7 linked regions of the Kluyveromyces lactis genome follow. The protein of the gene in region 2 binds, or shares a complex with, the protein of the main gene of each other region. Links are inferred from orthologs where the notes say so. Each region holds a gene or a part of one and is shown on either strand. Other genes may lie near its edges. The genes, in order: MRPL23, MRPL9, MRPL51, MRPL7, MRPL19, MRPL16 and MRPL33.

Region 1 (2,121 bases), on a different chromosome or scaffold from region 2:
TCGATAAAGTCATTCATAGGACCAATTACACCACTTTGGTCATGTTTTATGCTCCGTGGTGTGGTTACTGTCAGGAATTGAAAGGTTCCATGAAATCTGCCGGTAAAATCCTCTCTGGAATGGTACAAGTTGCTGGAGTGAACTGTGATGAAAGTGTGAATAAACAATTATGTGCACAGAACAGAGTATCGGGGTTCCCAACGTTAATGGTATTCAGGCCTCCAAAGATCAATTTGGATAACCCAAAGAAAAATTCCAATGGTGCTGCGTCACAGCATGCCACAGAAGTGTACAAGGGAGAAAGGAAATTGAAGCCCATTGTCGATTTCGCTTTATCTAGAGTGAAAAACTACGTGAAGCGGTTGAACCGTTACAGTAAGTTCGAAGAACTATTAAAATCTTCAAGAACCAGGTACGCTGTAGTGCTTATCTCAAAGAAGGAGAAGATTCCAACTTTATATAAATCTGTAGCCCTCGATTGGCTTGGGATCTACGATTTCTATTCGATCTGGGACGAGAAATTGCAAGGCGTGTCACAATTGAGTTTTGAGAACGATACAAAGAATTGGCCAAATACTGTTAAATACCTCCAATCGTTAGAAAAAAGTGAAACTGAATTACAATCGCCCAGAATCGTAGTGATAGATAGAGAAACAGATACTTATGACGAACTAGACATATTAAAAACTACAGATAAAAATGACATTGCAACGTTCCTTTCGAAATTCGAGTCAAAACCAAGGGAAGGTCCACTCAGTAAGAGACAAGAATACCTCAAATCTATTTTGAATAAATCAAAGTCAAAGAAGTCCAAGACTAAAAAGAACAAACAGAAGACTAAACTTACGAAGGACGACATAGTTCAGGATGAGTTGTAGGTATTTGTTAGTAGCTTGTATATAGATTGTGTTTAACATCCGGGTAACAGTAATATGAGCGATTGAAAAAAATTTGGCTCCAAGCTGAAATTAAACATCAATTAATCAAATCGATTGTCAAGCTAAACATATGATGAGTTAAAAGACAACTGACTGTCCCGAACTATCCCTTTACCTAAGTGATTACAGTTGAATAGCATCACTTAAAATTTAACTTTTTAGGTGCCACGTTTTAACCTGTCAGAAAGGAGGCAAAATAACAATATATTAGAAGTATGTCTCAAAAGGTAGGACATACTGGTTTGGCATTTGCCAGGATGTGGCATCATGTTGATATATCCAAGGACAAGAGAACGCTTGGTAGGGTGGCATCTCAGGTTGCTCTAGCGTTAATGGGGAAGCACAAGCCAGTGTATCATCCATCTGCTGATTGCGGTGATTATGTTGTGGTAACGAACTGCCAAGCTTTGCGTGTGACGGGGAACAAGATGACCCAAAAGACGTACTGGTCGCATACTTCTAGACCAGGTTCATTAAAGTTGACTACAATGGAAGACATGATCAGTAACAAGGGTTACAGTGAAGTTTTGAAGAAGGCTGTGTCCGGAATGCTTCCCAAGAATAAACTTCGTAAGATCAGACTTGCTAGATTAAAAATTTTCGATGGAAGTGAACATCCATACAAGAGTAATATCACCGCATTTGCTGATCAGCAACTAGAGCTGCAACACCAGAAGAAATAGTGTGGATGAATTTTTATGTGACTTCTTAATTTTTGAGAAGTTAACGGCAGCATGTGATGTAAAATCCCTGTATATATTATTATTCGATCTAAATGGTTCTCCTTAGTACGCATACAATGTCTGTCGTTTTTCACTGTACTAAACTCTTCCACTTTACTATGTACATATAGATTGTTATTTAGATATGTTAATTATCACATACAAATCACATACAAATCACATACAGAGATAGAAAAGATATTACATCGCAGTATGCCAAAGCATAATACTTTTGCCTGGAAGAAAGAACATTTAACAGAACAAAAACGAGAAGAATTAGGGAAGGATGTATTTCATATTTGATATTATTTCCCTTGCTCCAAAAGACGATCTACTTTTGCTTCCAAAGCAGCAAGAATTTCATCTTTGCGGGTATTTTCCTCGGTTAATTTATCAATATAGCTTTCCAACTTTAGAACTAATCCAGATAATGTTTCTACAGATTGTCTCAAATTGAGAGA
Region 2 (2,599 bases):
GACGAAGAGCAGTCTCCACATCCCATTTCGACCCAGGAGTGGCCTAGATGGTCACCAATCGAGAGTAACAGCCTAAGTATATCTTATTTAACAATCGTCAAAGCAATTAAAGTTACCCTCCCATACTATCTCACTATTAAAATTTTGATTCCAAGTGAAAAATTGGTTGAAAGACGCATAGAGATGAGTGCTGGAAGAACAGATTGATATAGACGCATTTGATCTAATATACCCAGTCATATAGCGGCTGCAAAGTGGGCTAGACTATTTCCAGGATATACACAATTACCATGACATTTGTTTCCAGAAGACTCTTTTCTGTGTCGGCTCTTCTGCGCTCACATATTGGTTCTTCTCCGGTGTATTTGACACCGGAGACCAAGTTGGTGGTGGAATCAATGAAACTGCCAAAGATCATCAGAAAGGGTAACAAATCTCTTAAGTTATCTCAGAACGTAACTGTATCGGGTCCTTTGGGGAAGATTGATATGGAAATCCCAGATTTCGTGGAGATAAAGCAGGATGGATCTTCGGGAAAAATCGAAGTTGCAGTGAAGGATTCTACCGACAAGACGCAAAGATCCATGTGGGGGACGGTAAGATCTCATATAAATAATCATATCACAGGCGTGAATGAGAGCCATATGGCTGTTCTGAAGTTCGTTGGTACCGGTTACAGAGCTCAATTGGAGGAAAATAACACCTTTGTCAACGTCAAAGTCGGTGCGTCGGTAAGACAAGGCCTACCTATCCCAGAGGGAATCATAGTTAAGTCTCCGGTACCCACGTCGTTGATCGTGGAAGGTGTCAACAAGCAACAAGTGCTACTCTTCGCTGCCAACTTGAGAAAATTCCATCCTCCAGAACCATATAAGGGTAAAGGTATCTACGTTAACAATGAAACTATCAAGATCAAGGATAAGAAGATCAAATGATGACGATAGAATGATGATTATAATTATTATAATATTAAATAACATGTAAATACAGAAGCATAAACATACACTTCCAATAACCGTCAAGGGCACACTTAATTTGTGTTAAATCAGTGAGAGAACTACGTGCCGTTTTAATCACGTGATCTATAGGTAACTTTATCGATTCAAAAAATTTTCAATATCGAAACAGCTTTAACAATTATACAGAGATGGAAACAGGTTTCAATAGAGTCTTTAAACTACATTTTAAATCCTTTACAGTTTCTCCAGCATTGCCAAGAGGTTATCTGGATTGACACATTTGTTATCAATCGACCAGTCTTTGAAAATTGGGGAATAATGGCATTTATTGGCAGTCCTTCGTCGAAGATTTGGACAAGACTTTTCTCACAAAGTGGAGTATCGAACGGTGCCAAGTTAGTCGCACCATCCGTGGCAAGCAGCATTCATCTAGATCCTGTAGATATTAAACATTCTCCAGAAAATGCGCTAAAGAGAAGAAGATTACCTCTACGTTGTGGTGCTTTGAGTAAAAAAGTAGGGATGATGCCGTATTTCGAGAAAGAGACTGGTAAACGTATAGCAGCTACTGTACTTCAGTTGGACAATAACGAAGTTATACTACACAGAACTCCAGCTGAAAACAATTACTGGGCTTGCCAAATTGGTTATGGTAACAAGTCGCCGGAGAATGTTACCAGACAAATGTTGGGACATTTCGCTGCACATGTTGTGAATCCAAAGGAAAAAGTTACCGAGTTTAGAGTCAAGGACGAATCTGGACTACTACCAGTGGGTTCTTTAATCAAACCTTCGTGGTTCAAGCCTGGCCAATACGTTGATTTAAGATCAATCAGCAAAGGTAAGGGTTTCCAAGGTGTAATGAAACGTTATGGATTCAAAGGTTTGAAGGCATCCCACGGTGTTTCCGTATCTCACAGATCTGGTGGTTCTTACGGTCAAAATCAAACACCTGGTCGTGTGTTGCCTGGGAAAAAGATGCCTGGTCATATGGGTGTCGACACTGTAACAATTCAAAACGTGCAAGTGCTGGACGTCAACGACGAAACAGGTACTGTCTTGGTGAAGGGCTCTGTCGCAGGTCCAAATGGTGCATTCGTTAAGATCCAAGATGCTATCAAAAAGCCAACCCCAGTATAAAAAACTGTGATTAAGAAATTGAATCTTTTCAGTCGTTTAGACACCGTCCCGAAATCATTTGGAAAGCATGCCTTTCTACGGTTATTATTAACAATCTATACCTGTATATACACCAATTATAAAATAGTAACTGCTGCAACGTTGAGTGTCCTTTTCAACCAGATATTTAATGGCTTTCATACGTTGATACTGGATCCTGGGTATATGTCGGAGAGAATTGATTACAATTTTTTTCTCTATGTGGGAAGATATACGGCCTGCTATGTATATATTTGCCTTGCTTGACAAGTGTTAGTTTCAGCTTTCATTGGATCCGCAGAAACTTTTTCGTTTCTTGACCATGCTGTACATTTCTGTAAGGTGTTATCTTTACTCATCATCATCCAATTCCGATGGTTTCAATAACCCACCGATCTTGGAAGCTCTTTCTCTTTCAAGTTTATGTTGTTCCGCGAGAGCTTGTTCTTTGTCCTCTGCGAACAAATAATCGGTTGGATCTC
Region 3 (2,098 bases), on a different chromosome or scaffold from region 2:
TTAATTAATCTGAAGGAAAACTATGTATATTAAGAATTCTTCAATGACATGAAATAAAGGTGCAAGTAAAAGGTATGAAAATGGTAGTAAAAAAGTGCCATTTGCTGCCCTTCTTATATAATACAAATGTTACTTTGGACACGCTAATAAACTCTTAACACCTTATAAGTATTTACCGTTGATGAATTACCAAGTTCCAGTTAATTAGTATGGTATTCTTCTGCTTTTTTCCCTAAATTTTTTTGTCGCATTTTATACTGCATCGTTGAAACGCTTCAGTGAACGCCGTAATAAATTAAAGAAACGGATACAAACCTTGACTGTTCGCTACTTACAAGTGAATGTTTTTTAGGGGTGGTCATCGTTATACGCATCCTTAAAAAAACGCATAGAACTTTAATTTTTCAATAGTTATAGGGACATTATACGCACCATAATGATAAACTGGTGACTATTATGGCAATACATTTGCCTGTTCTTGAACAAAGTGTCATACACTTACATCACACTTAATAGGGAGTGCCCAGTTAATTGGTTTAAATGACGCATGTGCATAATTTTTTTAACAAATTACTAGTGTGCATCCAACATACGCTAGGTGTCAATCCGTACATTCCATGGGTGAACGCAAATCAGGCCCTTTATTTAATTAACCTCATATGAAGCCTTTGGGACATCTTGGATCAGAATCTGGGGCCTCTATCGTACTTTCTATGGATTTGCTCAGTAAAAGTACCCTTAACCAAACGCTGGTAGTGCATTATTGTCATAACCCATCGACAGATCATCAAGTTTACATGACGTATGACATCTCATGAGGATGTGTTGACATAGCAATGTGAAAGAAACAGAATATAGTCGGAAAGAGGTTCTGTATTATTTACATTCGTCACCTTATAGCAGTGTTGGTACCAGTATCTTTTTCATTTGTGTGAGCATGTGGTGAATTGTCCTCCTACCTTCGAATACATACAGATTTGTTCACGTGACTGATGGTCTTTTGAAATTGGAAAAAAATAATCATGAACTGAAAACTCGAATAAAACTCAAAAGATATATTAGTGAATCTATGTTCTGCATCTGAAGGATCTCTCCACAGTTTCAAAATACACCCAACTTGTTTTCTAATCAGAGCTGGTACCCGCGGTCATAAAGATTTCTCTGAAGTAATGGTTGTTAAAGTTTTGAGACAAACTTCTATCGCAAGAAATGGTGTTGGCGCTTTTGTGCTTCCATGTAAAAAGATCACTTTGCAATACTGTAATTGGGGTGGTTCCTCACAGGGTTTGAGAGATTTCCTAACGTCTAACAGAATGATTCAATGGGCTGAAAAATATCCAACAATACAGTTCGAAATAGTAAGAAAGTCTGGCCATCCAGTTATAAAAGGTGACTATGTTAATGGCCGTAATAAAGCCATCTGCGTAAAAAATCTGAACATTGATAATGTAGAGAATAAGTTAAAACTAATCAGAGACGCATCTGGTGAGCAACTCCGTCACAGAACTAAGAACGACAATGTGGATACTTTGAACGATAGTGTGAGAGGTATCTGGTCTCCACTACATTTAAGCCCAGCCATCAGACACAAGGTTTGAATCGAAAAAATGACTTGTGAATGGTAATATCGAGATCATAGCTTAACTTGTACATATATATAGCAATATCCTCGATGAAGCCGATACCTAAGTAAACAACCTACGATGTTGAATATTACTACGCAATTAATAAAAAAGAAGATCTATACTAATTTTTCATTTACTATATTATATGATATTATCGTATATTATATATGCAAAGGGCTCCATTCAAGCTGATGCTTTGTATTCTCTAAGAACCACGGGAACAGAAGATGGTGGCAACGAACCAAATTCTGTAATGATCTTCTTGATGTAGTCAGGGGGTGTTAAATCGTACATTATATTGAAGATGTGCAAATTAGGTGATTTCTCCCACTCTGCTAGTATTGGTTTATCCTTGACATTCTTACCTTCGTCGGCAGTAGCATTATTGGTATTAGCACTGCCAGATTTATTATTTTGCTTAGAGCTATTCTCGACTTCCTTCTGCTGCGCTTCACGCTCTTTGATAAATTGCT
Region 4 (2,647 bases), on a different chromosome or scaffold from region 2:
CGCCTTCACCGGTTCAATTATTTCTGTTTTAATTGTCTGAATCATGGTTTTGTATTTAGTAAAAGTTTCTTCGATTAACTTGAAATTTGTAGATTCTTTGGACTGTTTAAGTTTATTCCTCTCCAGTTGTTCTTGTTCTTGCTTCTTTTTCAGGGCTTCTACTCTCTTCGCTTCTTCAGCTTTCTTCTCCTTTTCTGCCATTTCTTGAATCTTCCGTTTCTCTTCCTCCTTCAACTTCTTTTCCATCTCCTTTTTATGCTTCAATTCTTCTTGTCTGCGCTTCTCCGCTTCGCATTCTTTCTGGATACGTGCTTCCTCTTCCCTCTTCTTTTTATCCTTTATGCTTTTAATTAAACGTTGATTCACCTTTTCAATTGAATCAATTTCCTCATTCCACACAGATTCAAGCACCTGGTCTTGCATAGGAAAGGTGTGTTGTTCCACCTCGTCAATCAAATCCTTCTTCTCTTGGTAATAAAGTTCTGCTTCGTCAATAAGAACAGGGCCTAAAGCTTTATTCTCGTGACCTCTCGTTGTAAGATGCGGTAGTGCATTCCTTTCAAGAGTGATATTTAAGTTGGAAAGCATTGAAACTATTTCTGGTTCTACCACATCCTCTAAAGAAATTGTATCTCCTGAACTAAACCCTTGCTCTTCACCTTGGCCGTCATTCTTTGAAGAATGGTATAATTTCGGTAGTTTTAACTGGATCCCATCAGATGGATCGCCAATATACGTAAACTCCCCGTCTAATTCATAGTCAGAATCACTGCTGCTGGTATTCTGACTCTGTTTCCGTTCAGCATTCTCGTACAATTCGTCAAATGAGAACCTCATCTCAATTGTCCTGATATGTGTCAATCGCTTTCTTTACTTTATCAAATCGGTAAAAAGCTCAATTCAAGTAAACGATTCGGGGTTAAGTTCGACTGTTATTACCTAAATGGAGAATCCAGCTACGTGTCTTTAAGTACGGGATCAAAAAAAAACGGCTGCAATGCATCAACACAAGGGCTGAAAGGTCAACACTCTCTATAATCATCAACTGAGCTCTACCTGGTTTTTAATCAAATTTCACTTTTTGTTGATTCTTGTCACGTGACGTATATTGAATTCTCTGTACTTGAAAGTTTTAAAAATTTTTCGACCTTTCGAGCTAAAGCTGTAAGATAATGATAGAGATTTGATCAGTTTCACTCGATTTAAAGCAGTATTCCTTCCCATTCGTAGGTTTATACATTCATTCGTTCGCATCTGTGAGAAGATACCAAGTGATAATGCAAGTGGTACGTGGTTTCCACAGTAGTTCAAAGGTCTCCAAAGCTGCTTGTGCTTTGGTTAAGCCAGTGCATCATTTGGTTAAGATCGACAAGAGCAAGCTATCCCCAAGGTTTCCTGAATTGAAATATAGTAAAAACGATATTAGATCTCCAGCATTCAAGCCTGTTGTTACACATCAAGACCGTGTTCGTGAGCATTATTATAATACTTTACAAAGCGATTTATTATTGATAAATTATTCCCACAAAAGCCAAACGAAGCTCGGGTTGAAGCAAAGAGAATGGGACGGTTCTTCTCCATATCACATTAACAGAGAACCCAGAAAACCTAAGGGCTCAAGTGCTCAATTGCCAGATATTCATCCAGTAACGTGGAAGAACATTCCAGACATCGAGTCCGTTGTTATTAACTGTTACGTCAGAGATGCAAAAGAGAACCAATATCTACCAATTTCAGCAGCATTACAATTGCAACAAATTACCGGGTGTAAACCAAAGGCTTTGTTCTCTAGGAATGATGTTCCGGCCTGGAAGGTCAGAAGAGGTACCCAAATGGGTGCTGTCATTACATTGAAAGGTCGTCCAATGTCTCAGTTCTTATCCACTTTGACTGAAATTGTACTACCAAGAATCAGAGAATACAAAGGTATCTCCAACAAGTCAGGTAACAGATTTGGTGGGTTATCATTTGGTATGACCAGCGATGAAGTCAGATTTTTCCCAGAGATTGATGCTAATCAAGATCTTTGGCCAGTAACTTTTGGTATGCACATCAACATCAACACAACTGCCCAAACTGACGTACAGGCTAGAACTTTGGTCAGTGGATTCGGTTTTCCTTTCAACGGTTCGGAAAAGATCAATTAATGCTCCCAAGTAGTTTTTATCCTGTCTTTCGTCCTGTAAATAACACTCACTAATAGGATAAAAAAATTATCAGCATTATATGTATATGACTACCTTTATACAAATGTCGACGTCTCTTAATGTACACTTATATGTAATAGATTTCAATAAGTAAAAAGTGGCATATATATTGCATTACAGGTAATTGGTGAGATCAAAGTCTTCAAATTATTAACCTCAAACACGATCAACACTAACGATATTCATAGTTCTTCCCATTCTGGTAATATTGTCACCATTGGTTAAAGCTAACCCTTGGGTCTTTGAACGAATACGGATTTCACCAACAATTTCTTGTGTGATTGGATCCTTCTCTATGCACAGGTTAGCCAAAGCGTCCTCGCCAAATGTAGATCTAGAATATAAGTTACAACTTAGGAATCTGGAATCATTGTCGCCGAGTGCCTCTTCAGGGGTTAGAACCTTCATATGTGTAACTTCCACCAACTTCTCTAAATAAC
Region 5 (2,119 bases), on a different chromosome or scaffold from region 2:
GCATCGTGATATGAAGTTGGACAACTGTGTAATAAACAACCAGGGTATAGTGAAGTTGATTGACTTCGGTGCTGCAGAAGTCTTCTCCTACCCCCACTCAAAAACTTTAATCGAGTCAAGTGGCATTGTTGGAAGTGATCCATATTTGGCTCCCGAAGTTTGTATATTTACCAAGTATGACCCAAGACCTGTTGATATATGGTCCGTTGCCATTTTGTTTGCATGTATGGTATTAAAGAAATTCCCATGGAAGATACCTAAGTTAAAGGATAATTCCTTCAAATTCTTCTGTTCGGGAAGAGACTGCGATTCCTTGAGTGCTTTAGTCACAAAAACACCTAAACCGCCAAGTTATGACAATGCCGTCCAATCTGATGAGCCAGCTGAGAGCACATCTAAATCGAACAACCCATCTGATCCAAACAACACGAATATTGGTCCTCAAAGACTACTTCATTCCTTACCGGAAGAGACCCACCACATTATCGGTAGGATGGTAGACTTGGCTCCTGCTTGTAGAGCCAATATTGAAGAAGTATTAAATGACCCTTGGATTCAATCCATTGACATGTGCACCGTTGAAGTAGACAACCAAGGTAACTACGTCGTGCACCCTGGAATGGACCACAAACATACCCAAGTTGATCAAAGCGAAGCCCACATTGCTGGTCTTGAAAAGAAAAAAAAGGCAAAATAAATTAAGAGAGAGAGTAAAACTAGCAATCCGGCTGAGGTATGTTCTACAGCATGTTTTATCAAATAAGAGTAACTCTTCTGAGACGACATAGACTTCTAATTGTTGTGCAATCGTTATAAATTATCTCTCCTGTAAAAGTACACAAATGTATAAAATATTTAAGAACAATTCTTGGCATTCTCATAAAATTAATGCTTTATAACGTTAGCAACCTTTGGCATGAAGTCGGTACACATCGCAGCATATGGTTCTATTTAGCAGACAATGAATTGTGCTTATTAGAAAGTGTATAATGGAAAACAATGTGCGGGTAATAACTTCAAAATTTTCTTTGGCCTAAAAAATTCTTGGAGATATGCCAGATTATAAGCTGGTAAAAATCGATGGCTTAAAGTAAGATGTGCATTCAATCCGATCAATTGCCTCGAACAAAATATCGAAACAGTAAGTCCAGGAAGCGCCAAACAGGACCATGTCGAAGGTTCTTAAGAACGTGATAGTCAAACTTATTGTCGGAGCAGGTCAAGCTGCGCCTTCTCCTCCAGTTGGTCCAGCTTTAGGGTCTAAAGGTATTAAAGCTATTGATTTCTGTAAAGAGTTCAATGCCAGAACAGCAAACTTCCAACCGGGTACTCCGATTCCAGTACTCATCAATATCAAACCAGATAGAACATTTTCGTTTGAAATGAAAAGCCCTCCTACTGGATATCTTTTATTGAAGGCATTAAGTCTTGAGAAGGGACACGGACAACCAAATATCAGTAACCCTGATAATGTATGTGGTGAACTGTCGTTAAAACATATATATGAGATCGCCAAGATCAAGAAGACCGATGGAAGACACGCTGCTCTGGAACTTGAAGGAATCGTAAAGTCTATTATCGGTGTTGCTAAGAGTATGGGTATTAAGGTAGTTCCATAAACTGACTTTTTTTTCACTAATCAAAGCATCGATTTGTGAAATAGTGAAGGTCTCGATGGAGAGTTTCATTCCAACTGGTTTATTAGCATTTGTAGACCTCATTTCGTGTACATAAAATAGAATAATGAAAAGATAAAATTATAATAATATATCAACTACTATAGATGAAGATGTATATGATGATCCAAATGAACTGAAACCGAAGTGAAAAAAGATGAACTGAAGTCAGTGTGAGGTAGATGCATGTATGACTGTTTACAAAGAAAGAATGAACAAGGATGCAAGTGTATTGTAAGCCGGTAGTTTAAGGAAAGGGTTATTCAAACTTATGGGGAAATCCTTCTCTTCTTGTTTTTTTTCTTATTCTTACGTTTAGAGTTGTTCTGCGATGATGAGTGTGAAGATGGAGGTCTTTGCAATTGCGGAATACCTAGATCAGTAGATTTATTGGAAGATTGAGAGGAAAGTGGGACCGATTTTGGTGTAAGTCTAGTGTACAC
Region 6 (2,627 bases), on a different chromosome or scaffold from region 2:
CGGTTTGAATTTGTTGATTGTGCCCTCTTTGAATTGGGAATGGAACCTTTCGTCAAGGGTCCAGAATAATCTGATATCAGGGATCTCGAATAATAGCATTGCAATGCGGTCAAGGCCTAATCCAAAAGCCCAACCGATGTTTTGATTTTGTTCATATCCAGCTTTTAATAAAACGTCTTCACGGATAAGACCGCAACCGCAGAGCTCAAGCCAATTGTTTTGCCAGAACACTTCAATTTCCCATGATGGTGCAGTCCATGGGAAATAAGCTTGAATCCATCTAACCTTCAACTCTTCTCCCTTCACGTTACCCATACTTGCCAACTTTCTCTTGAAGACTTCCAATACAACAAGCTCCAAAGATCTTTTCAAATGGCGAGAACATAAATCGACTTCTTCCATCGTCATGTATTCCTGCTTTGGATTACCTTCCAAGGAAACGTTATCTTCCACGACAAGTTTCACTGGGTCGTCTGCCAAAGTTTTCTCCAATCTCTCGAGATCTTCTTTAATCTTTAATAAATGTTGGTTATCCGGTTCCCTTTTCCAAACTCTACCACCTTCCATTTGATGGAACACCGGATAATGAGTCCTGTCAATCTCATCTCTTCTATAGACATCGGCAGAGATTAAAAATCCAGGCTTATCAGTCTTACCCACATGGCCAGGAACAAACCCATTGATATTCTTGAAACATTCCAACTCATGGGCAGATGTATGCGTTCTTAACAGATGACAATCGTTCAAGTAATAGGTATCAGATTTCGATCTACCGGGGTGATCTTCTGGGAATCCCAAAGAATCAAAATTCTCATGTACCGTAACCGCAGGTTTGAAATCGTTATAGATCTCGAATGAGTGATGAGGGTCGTTCAGCTTGTCCTCGATAACACTTCTTAAGATCCCAACAGGGTGTGATGGTTTCAAATAAACAGCGCGATCAGTCAAATTCAAAATCGAACTAGTTACATTCGTCTTATCTGATACTGGGTACGTCTTTCCATTCACAGAAAGTGTCTGTAATGCCACATTGGAGGTGCTAAACAACCTTAAACATGGTCTCAAAGTTGACAATATCGTCCTATTCGACATCGTTTCGGTATTAAAGAACCCTTAATAACAGTAAAACTGGGGCAATTCAATCAACAAAACAAAGGTAATCCCTTAGCAATGATATTACTAGTGATATTTCACTGCCTGAAATCACCAGAACAGGTATATCAAGTGTTGTTTAACGAGACTTTTGTATCTTCTTTTGAATGTATGTAGAAGGTCACATGATTTCAAGATATCTTCAACTTCACCAAAAATTTTTCAATAATGAAAAGCTTTAAGAGTAAGTAAAAGAAGATCCAGAGCATAGAAATTGATTTGAAAAGCAGCATAAAACAGTCCCTCGCGCCTCATTGCAAGGATCTTATTTCAGATCAGTGAGCCTCCTTTATCGTAAATTAGATCACCATGTTTTCCAGCGTTTTCAAGACTGGATTTCGCTCACTAAATCCATTAGAAAGTCTGCAAGTAACCGCTAGGCGTTTTACACATGAATATGCTCCACGTTTCAAGAACCAGACTAAGAAGCAAAAGGGTCGTGTGCCAGTGCGTACCGGTGGCTCTACTAAGGGTAATTCGCTTCAATTTGGTCAATTTGGTTTAAGATTGAAGTCTGAAGGTGTGAGACTTACTGCGTTACAGTTGAAGGAAGCCGATAATGCTATTATGAGATACGTTAGACCTTTGAATAACGGTCAATTATGGCGTCGTTTGTGTACAAACATTGCTGTTTGTATCAAGGGTAATGAGACCAGAATGGGTAAAGGTAAGGGTGGATTTGACCATTGGATGGTCAGAGTACCCACCGGTAAAGTGATCTTTGAGATGGCAGGTGACAATCTACACGAGAAAGTAGCACGTGAGGCGTTTAGAAAGGCAGCAACCAAGCTTCCTGGCCTATACGAATTCATATCGAAAGATTCTCTGGTAAGAGTAGGTATCAAGAGTGTAAAAGATCCAAAGGACGATCCAAAGATCAATTACTTTGAAGAACTAAAGAAGAAACCTACAAAGGAATATATTACAAAGTTGAAGTCCCAGCAACCGGAATATAGAATGTTCAGGGCTCGTTGAAATAGATCGATGTGTGTATATAAACGACTCTTTTACGTATAACTTTTGTGAGAGCTAATCCCACTATCTGTAAATAGGCTATCAAAGATTCAAGATTTAAAGTCCCAAATGAGTAAAGTTTGGTTGTTTGTCAAACTACAAAAGTTAATACTTACGTATATTTATCTATTTCACACATTGTCCTTGCAATGAACCCTTCTAAATGGTAGATTGCTTTGTTTCCAAGGTTGAGACGGTGATCAAAAGTGCATGCAGTATCGATAATTGCCAACTTCAACGGATCTGACTGGGCATCTGAAAGCAATTGCGTCGTTAATTCATGGACTATGGTTTTGGCAGGAATACAATGGGCTAATAGATCATAATTTATGGAACGGCATTCTACAAGGTTATTAACAGTTCTTTCTTTTAATATTTTCCTAGCCATTTTATGGATCACCAATTGCCAATCAGGTCTGTTCAAAGGTGTATCGTTTCTTAAATGCAATTCATTTTGTAGT
Region 7 (2,028 bases), on a different chromosome or scaffold from region 2:
TCGTAGTCAATTAACATCTTATCTGTCATATCAAATAGATCTTCTTTCCAAGCAATTAATACTCCGTGGTTTTTGGTAGGATTAAAATGGAATTGACACATGTAACCTAGTTTTGTGAACTCCATTTTCCAGAAAGACTTGTATTGAACCGTGTCAATTTCTTGCAAACACAGTACGTCAACATTGTAATATTTGAATTCATTGAGTAAAACTTGAGATCTTTTAAACCATTTAACAGCATTTCCGCTCGTAGGAAACAGTGTTCTTCTAATCAAAGCTTGGGCAAGACAATTATACGTCATTATACTGATTGGACATACCTCTCTCGTCGATTGGCCTGATGAATCTCGAGGAACAGCTAACATCGGCCTTTTGATAAATCTAAGGTCTGCGGGCAATTTTGGATCTATACCTTGAGCAATAAGAGCCTCTTTTTTTGCTATTTTCGCAGCTTCTCTCTTAGCTCGCATCTCAGCGATATACTCTGGAGTGATCTCATTCAAGGCCTTGCCTTTTTTCTTACTTTTCTTGTCCTTTACTTTATTCTTACCTTCTACCTTCAACTGGTCCATCCCATCAGTAATCGATAGCTTTTTTGCTTGTTCCACAAGCTCTTTTGGAACGTCTTTGACGCCGGTGTCTTGCGTACTACCAGCCATATTGGCTCAAATTATTACTTCTACTTTGCAGTGTATAGTGGCGATATAAACCTTAGAGAGATCTAACCAACCATGGCGTTAAGAGCTTGTTAATATGATATATATATATATTATTCAATCGGGCATAAATATTGGAAAAAAAGAAATGACATATATATATATATATATATACATAACCAAGCAAATGCCCCTCCTAAGACAATTTCAATGCAACTTCATATTCAGGAAGAAATATTCAAACAGCGAGATATAATCTTGAGATCTTTATATGCAATTCCTGGTTCTTTCTCAGTAGGTAGCACTTTCCTGCGACGGTTTGTGAGAAGTGCCCAAATGACATACGCGATGAGCTGCTAGACAATATACATCACATGATATCACTTTATACGTTTTGATGCTATTTGAAAAATCAATGTACGTTGGCTATTAATGGTTTGAATACCCAGTTAATCTCTTCGATAATGATGCACAAGATCTCTTAAAAGAGCGTTTTTTTTTGACATAGTTCTCTATATTGTCAACGAAACTTACGACCGAGGAAATTATACTTCATTACTGGTATTAGCGAACGGTTTCTAAAAGCATAGCTATCATAATAATTTTCAAAGATAGCCATGGTTTTCTACAGAATTACATTACAGAGGTCAGTCATTGGTACTCCACAGAAGACTAGGGCAGTGGTCAAGAGTTTAGGACTCGGAAAAAGAGGATCTGTCGCATATCAACCAGCTACACCATCTATTGCAGGTGCTGTCGCTCAGATAAAGGAGCTTGTGAGCGTTGAGCTTGCCGATAAAGCTTTAAGTAAGGCAGAACAGCGTGAGCTAAGAAAATCAAATCCTGGATTTACTGTCGAAAAGAGAGTATAGAAAGGATCATACCAGACAATATAACAAACAAAGCAATGTACCAGAAACATTTAACAGAGAAGAAACTGGGCTCACAATGAACATCTTCTGTTTTACATAAAGAAAAGGATATTAGGATTTTCATGTATATAGAGATCAAAGAAATATTAATCTTATTCTAATGAGGTATTTGAGAGTATCATATACCAAACGTCTTTATTTAGAAGACACCGGTGACTTCTCTGGTGAGAATATTCCTAGGCTGTTTCACGTATTCGTCGTCACCATCTTCACCATATTCATCATCGTCAAATGCCACCGAGAACGAATCTACAATTCTGAAGATATCATTTTTATTCATAGCTTTTCCATCAAAACTTAGTTCTATACTGTCATTTGCCGAAAAGAATTGATTTTCTTGAGCCAGCAATTGATCAACTCTATTGTACAAATGTTTTGTTTTAGGTCTTTGTGGTAACCTTTGAACACTCATATTCTGGGAGATATATTTGCTCAAAACA

What was found.
Region 1: MRPL9 (region 2) and MRPL23 share a complex: the UniProt entries of both Schizosaccharomyces pombe proteins name them as parts of the mitochondrial large ribosomal subunit. The link is inferred for Kluyveromyces lactis from reciprocal best matches to the Schizosaccharomyces pombe genes mrpl9 and mrpl23.
Region 3: MRPL9 (region 2) and MRPL51 share a complex: the UniProt entries of both Schizosaccharomyces pombe proteins name them as parts of the mitochondrial large ribosomal subunit. The link is inferred for Kluyveromyces lactis from reciprocal best matches to the Schizosaccharomyces pombe genes mrpl9 and mrpl51.
Region 4: MRPL9 (region 2) and MRPL7 share a complex: the UniProt entries of both Schizosaccharomyces pombe proteins name them as parts of the mitochondrial large ribosomal subunit. The link is inferred for Kluyveromyces lactis from reciprocal best matches to the Schizosaccharomyces pombe genes mrpl9 and mrpl7.
Region 5: MRPL9 (region 2) and MRPL19 share a complex: the UniProt entries of both Schizosaccharomyces pombe proteins name them as parts of the mitochondrial large ribosomal subunit. The link is inferred for Kluyveromyces lactis from reciprocal best matches to the Schizosaccharomyces pombe genes mrpl9 and mrpl19.
Region 6: MRPL9 (region 2) and MRPL16 share a complex: the UniProt entries of both Schizosaccharomyces pombe proteins name them as parts of the mitochondrial large ribosomal subunit. The link is inferred for Kluyveromyces lactis from reciprocal best matches to the Schizosaccharomyces pombe genes mrpl9 and mrpl16.
Region 7: MRPL9 (region 2) and MRPL33 share a complex: the UniProt entries of both Schizosaccharomyces pombe proteins name them as parts of the mitochondrial large ribosomal subunit. The link is inferred for Kluyveromyces lactis from reciprocal best matches to the Schizosaccharomyces pombe genes mrpl9 and mrpl33.

The regions. Positions count from the first base shown.
Region 1 is NC_006040.1:210,738-212,858, forward strand, and holds MRPL23 (mitochondrial 54S ribosomal protein uL13m), read left to right. Parts: upstream 1-1,153; coding exon 1,154-1,621; downstream 1,622-2,121. Other genes in the region: protein disulfide isomerase MPD1, read left to right, coding at 1-878; CRN1 (coronin), read right to left, coding at 1,966-2,121. UniProt on the Schizosaccharomyces pombe protein: Component of the mitochondrial ribosome (mitoribosome), a dedicated translation machinery responsible for the synthesis of mitochondrial genome-encoded proteins, including at least some of the essential transmembrane subunits of the mitochondrial respiratory chain.
Region 2 is NC_006041.1:1,426,263-1,428,861, forward strand, and holds MRPL9 (mitochondrial 54S ribosomal protein uL3m), read left to right. Parts: upstream 1-1,277; coding exon 1,278-2,099; downstream 2,100-2,599. Other genes in the region: MRPL6 (mitochondrial 54S ribosomal protein uL6m), read left to right, coding at 291-935; exportin CRM1, read right to left, coding at 2,469-2,599. UniProt on the Schizosaccharomyces pombe protein: Component of the mitochondrial ribosome (mitoribosome), a dedicated translation machinery responsible for the synthesis of mitochondrial genome-encoded proteins, including at least some of the essential transmembrane subunits of the mitochondrial respiratory chain.
Region 3 is NC_006042.1:776,644-778,741, reverse strand, and holds MRPL51 (mitochondrial 54S ribosomal protein mL43), read left to right. Parts: upstream 1-1,169; coding exon 1,170-1,598; downstream 1,599-2,098. Other genes in the region: GCD2 (translation initiation factor eIF2B subunit delta), read right to left, coding at 1,809-2,098. UniProt on the Schizosaccharomyces pombe protein: Component of the mitochondrial ribosome (mitoribosome), a dedicated translation machinery responsible for the synthesis of mitochondrial genome-encoded proteins, including at least some of the essential transmembrane subunits of the mitochondrial respiratory chain.
Region 4 is NC_006039.1:1,326,649-1,329,295, forward strand, and holds MRPL7 (mitochondrial 54S ribosomal protein uL5m), read left to right. Parts: upstream 1-1,277; coding exon 1,278-2,147; downstream 2,148-2,647. Other genes in the region: nucleoporin GLE1, read right to left, coding at 1-837; SEC26 (coatomer subunit beta), read right to left, coding at 2,364-2,647. UniProt on the Schizosaccharomyces pombe protein: Component of the mitochondrial ribosome (mitoribosome), a dedicated translation machinery responsible for the synthesis of mitochondrial genome-encoded proteins, including at least some of the essential transmembrane subunits of the mitochondrial respiratory chain.
Region 5 is NC_006040.1:716,101-718,219, forward strand, and holds MRPL19 (mitochondrial 54S ribosomal protein uL11m), read left to right. Parts: upstream 1-1,169; coding exon 1,170-1,619; downstream 1,620-2,119. Other genes in the region: serine/threonine protein kinase NPR1, read left to right, coding at 1-697; ubiquitin-specific protease UBP10, read right to left, coding at 1,946-2,119. UniProt on the Schizosaccharomyces pombe protein: Component of the mitochondrial ribosome (mitoribosome), a dedicated translation machinery responsible for the synthesis of mitochondrial genome-encoded proteins, including at least some of the essential transmembrane subunits of the mitochondrial respiratory chain.
Region 6 is NC_006038.1:1,064,530-1,067,156, forward strand, and holds MRPL16 (mitochondrial 54S ribosomal protein uL16m), read left to right. Parts: upstream 1-1,461; coding exon 1,462-2,127; downstream 2,128-2,627. Other genes in the region: MSF1 (phenylalanine--tRNA ligase), read right to left, coding at 1-1,092; RFC5 (replication factor C subunit 5), read right to left, coding at 2,279-2,627. UniProt on the Schizosaccharomyces pombe protein: Component of the mitochondrial ribosome (mitoribosome), a dedicated translation machinery responsible for the synthesis of mitochondrial genome-encoded proteins, including at least some of the essential transmembrane subunits of the mitochondrial respiratory chain.
Region 7 is NC_006039.1:553,385-555,412, forward strand, and holds MRPL33 (mitochondrial 54S ribosomal protein uL30m), read left to right. Parts: upstream 1-1,273; coding exon 1,274-1,528; downstream 1,529-2,028. Other genes in the region: NGL2 (RNA exonuclease), read right to left, coding at 1-659; KLLA0_C06292g (uncharacterized protein), read right to left, coding at 1,728-2,028. UniProt on the Schizosaccharomyces pombe protein: Component of the mitochondrial ribosome (mitoribosome), a dedicated translation machinery responsible for the synthesis of mitochondrial genome-encoded proteins, including at least some of the essential transmembrane subunits of the mitochondrial respiratory chain.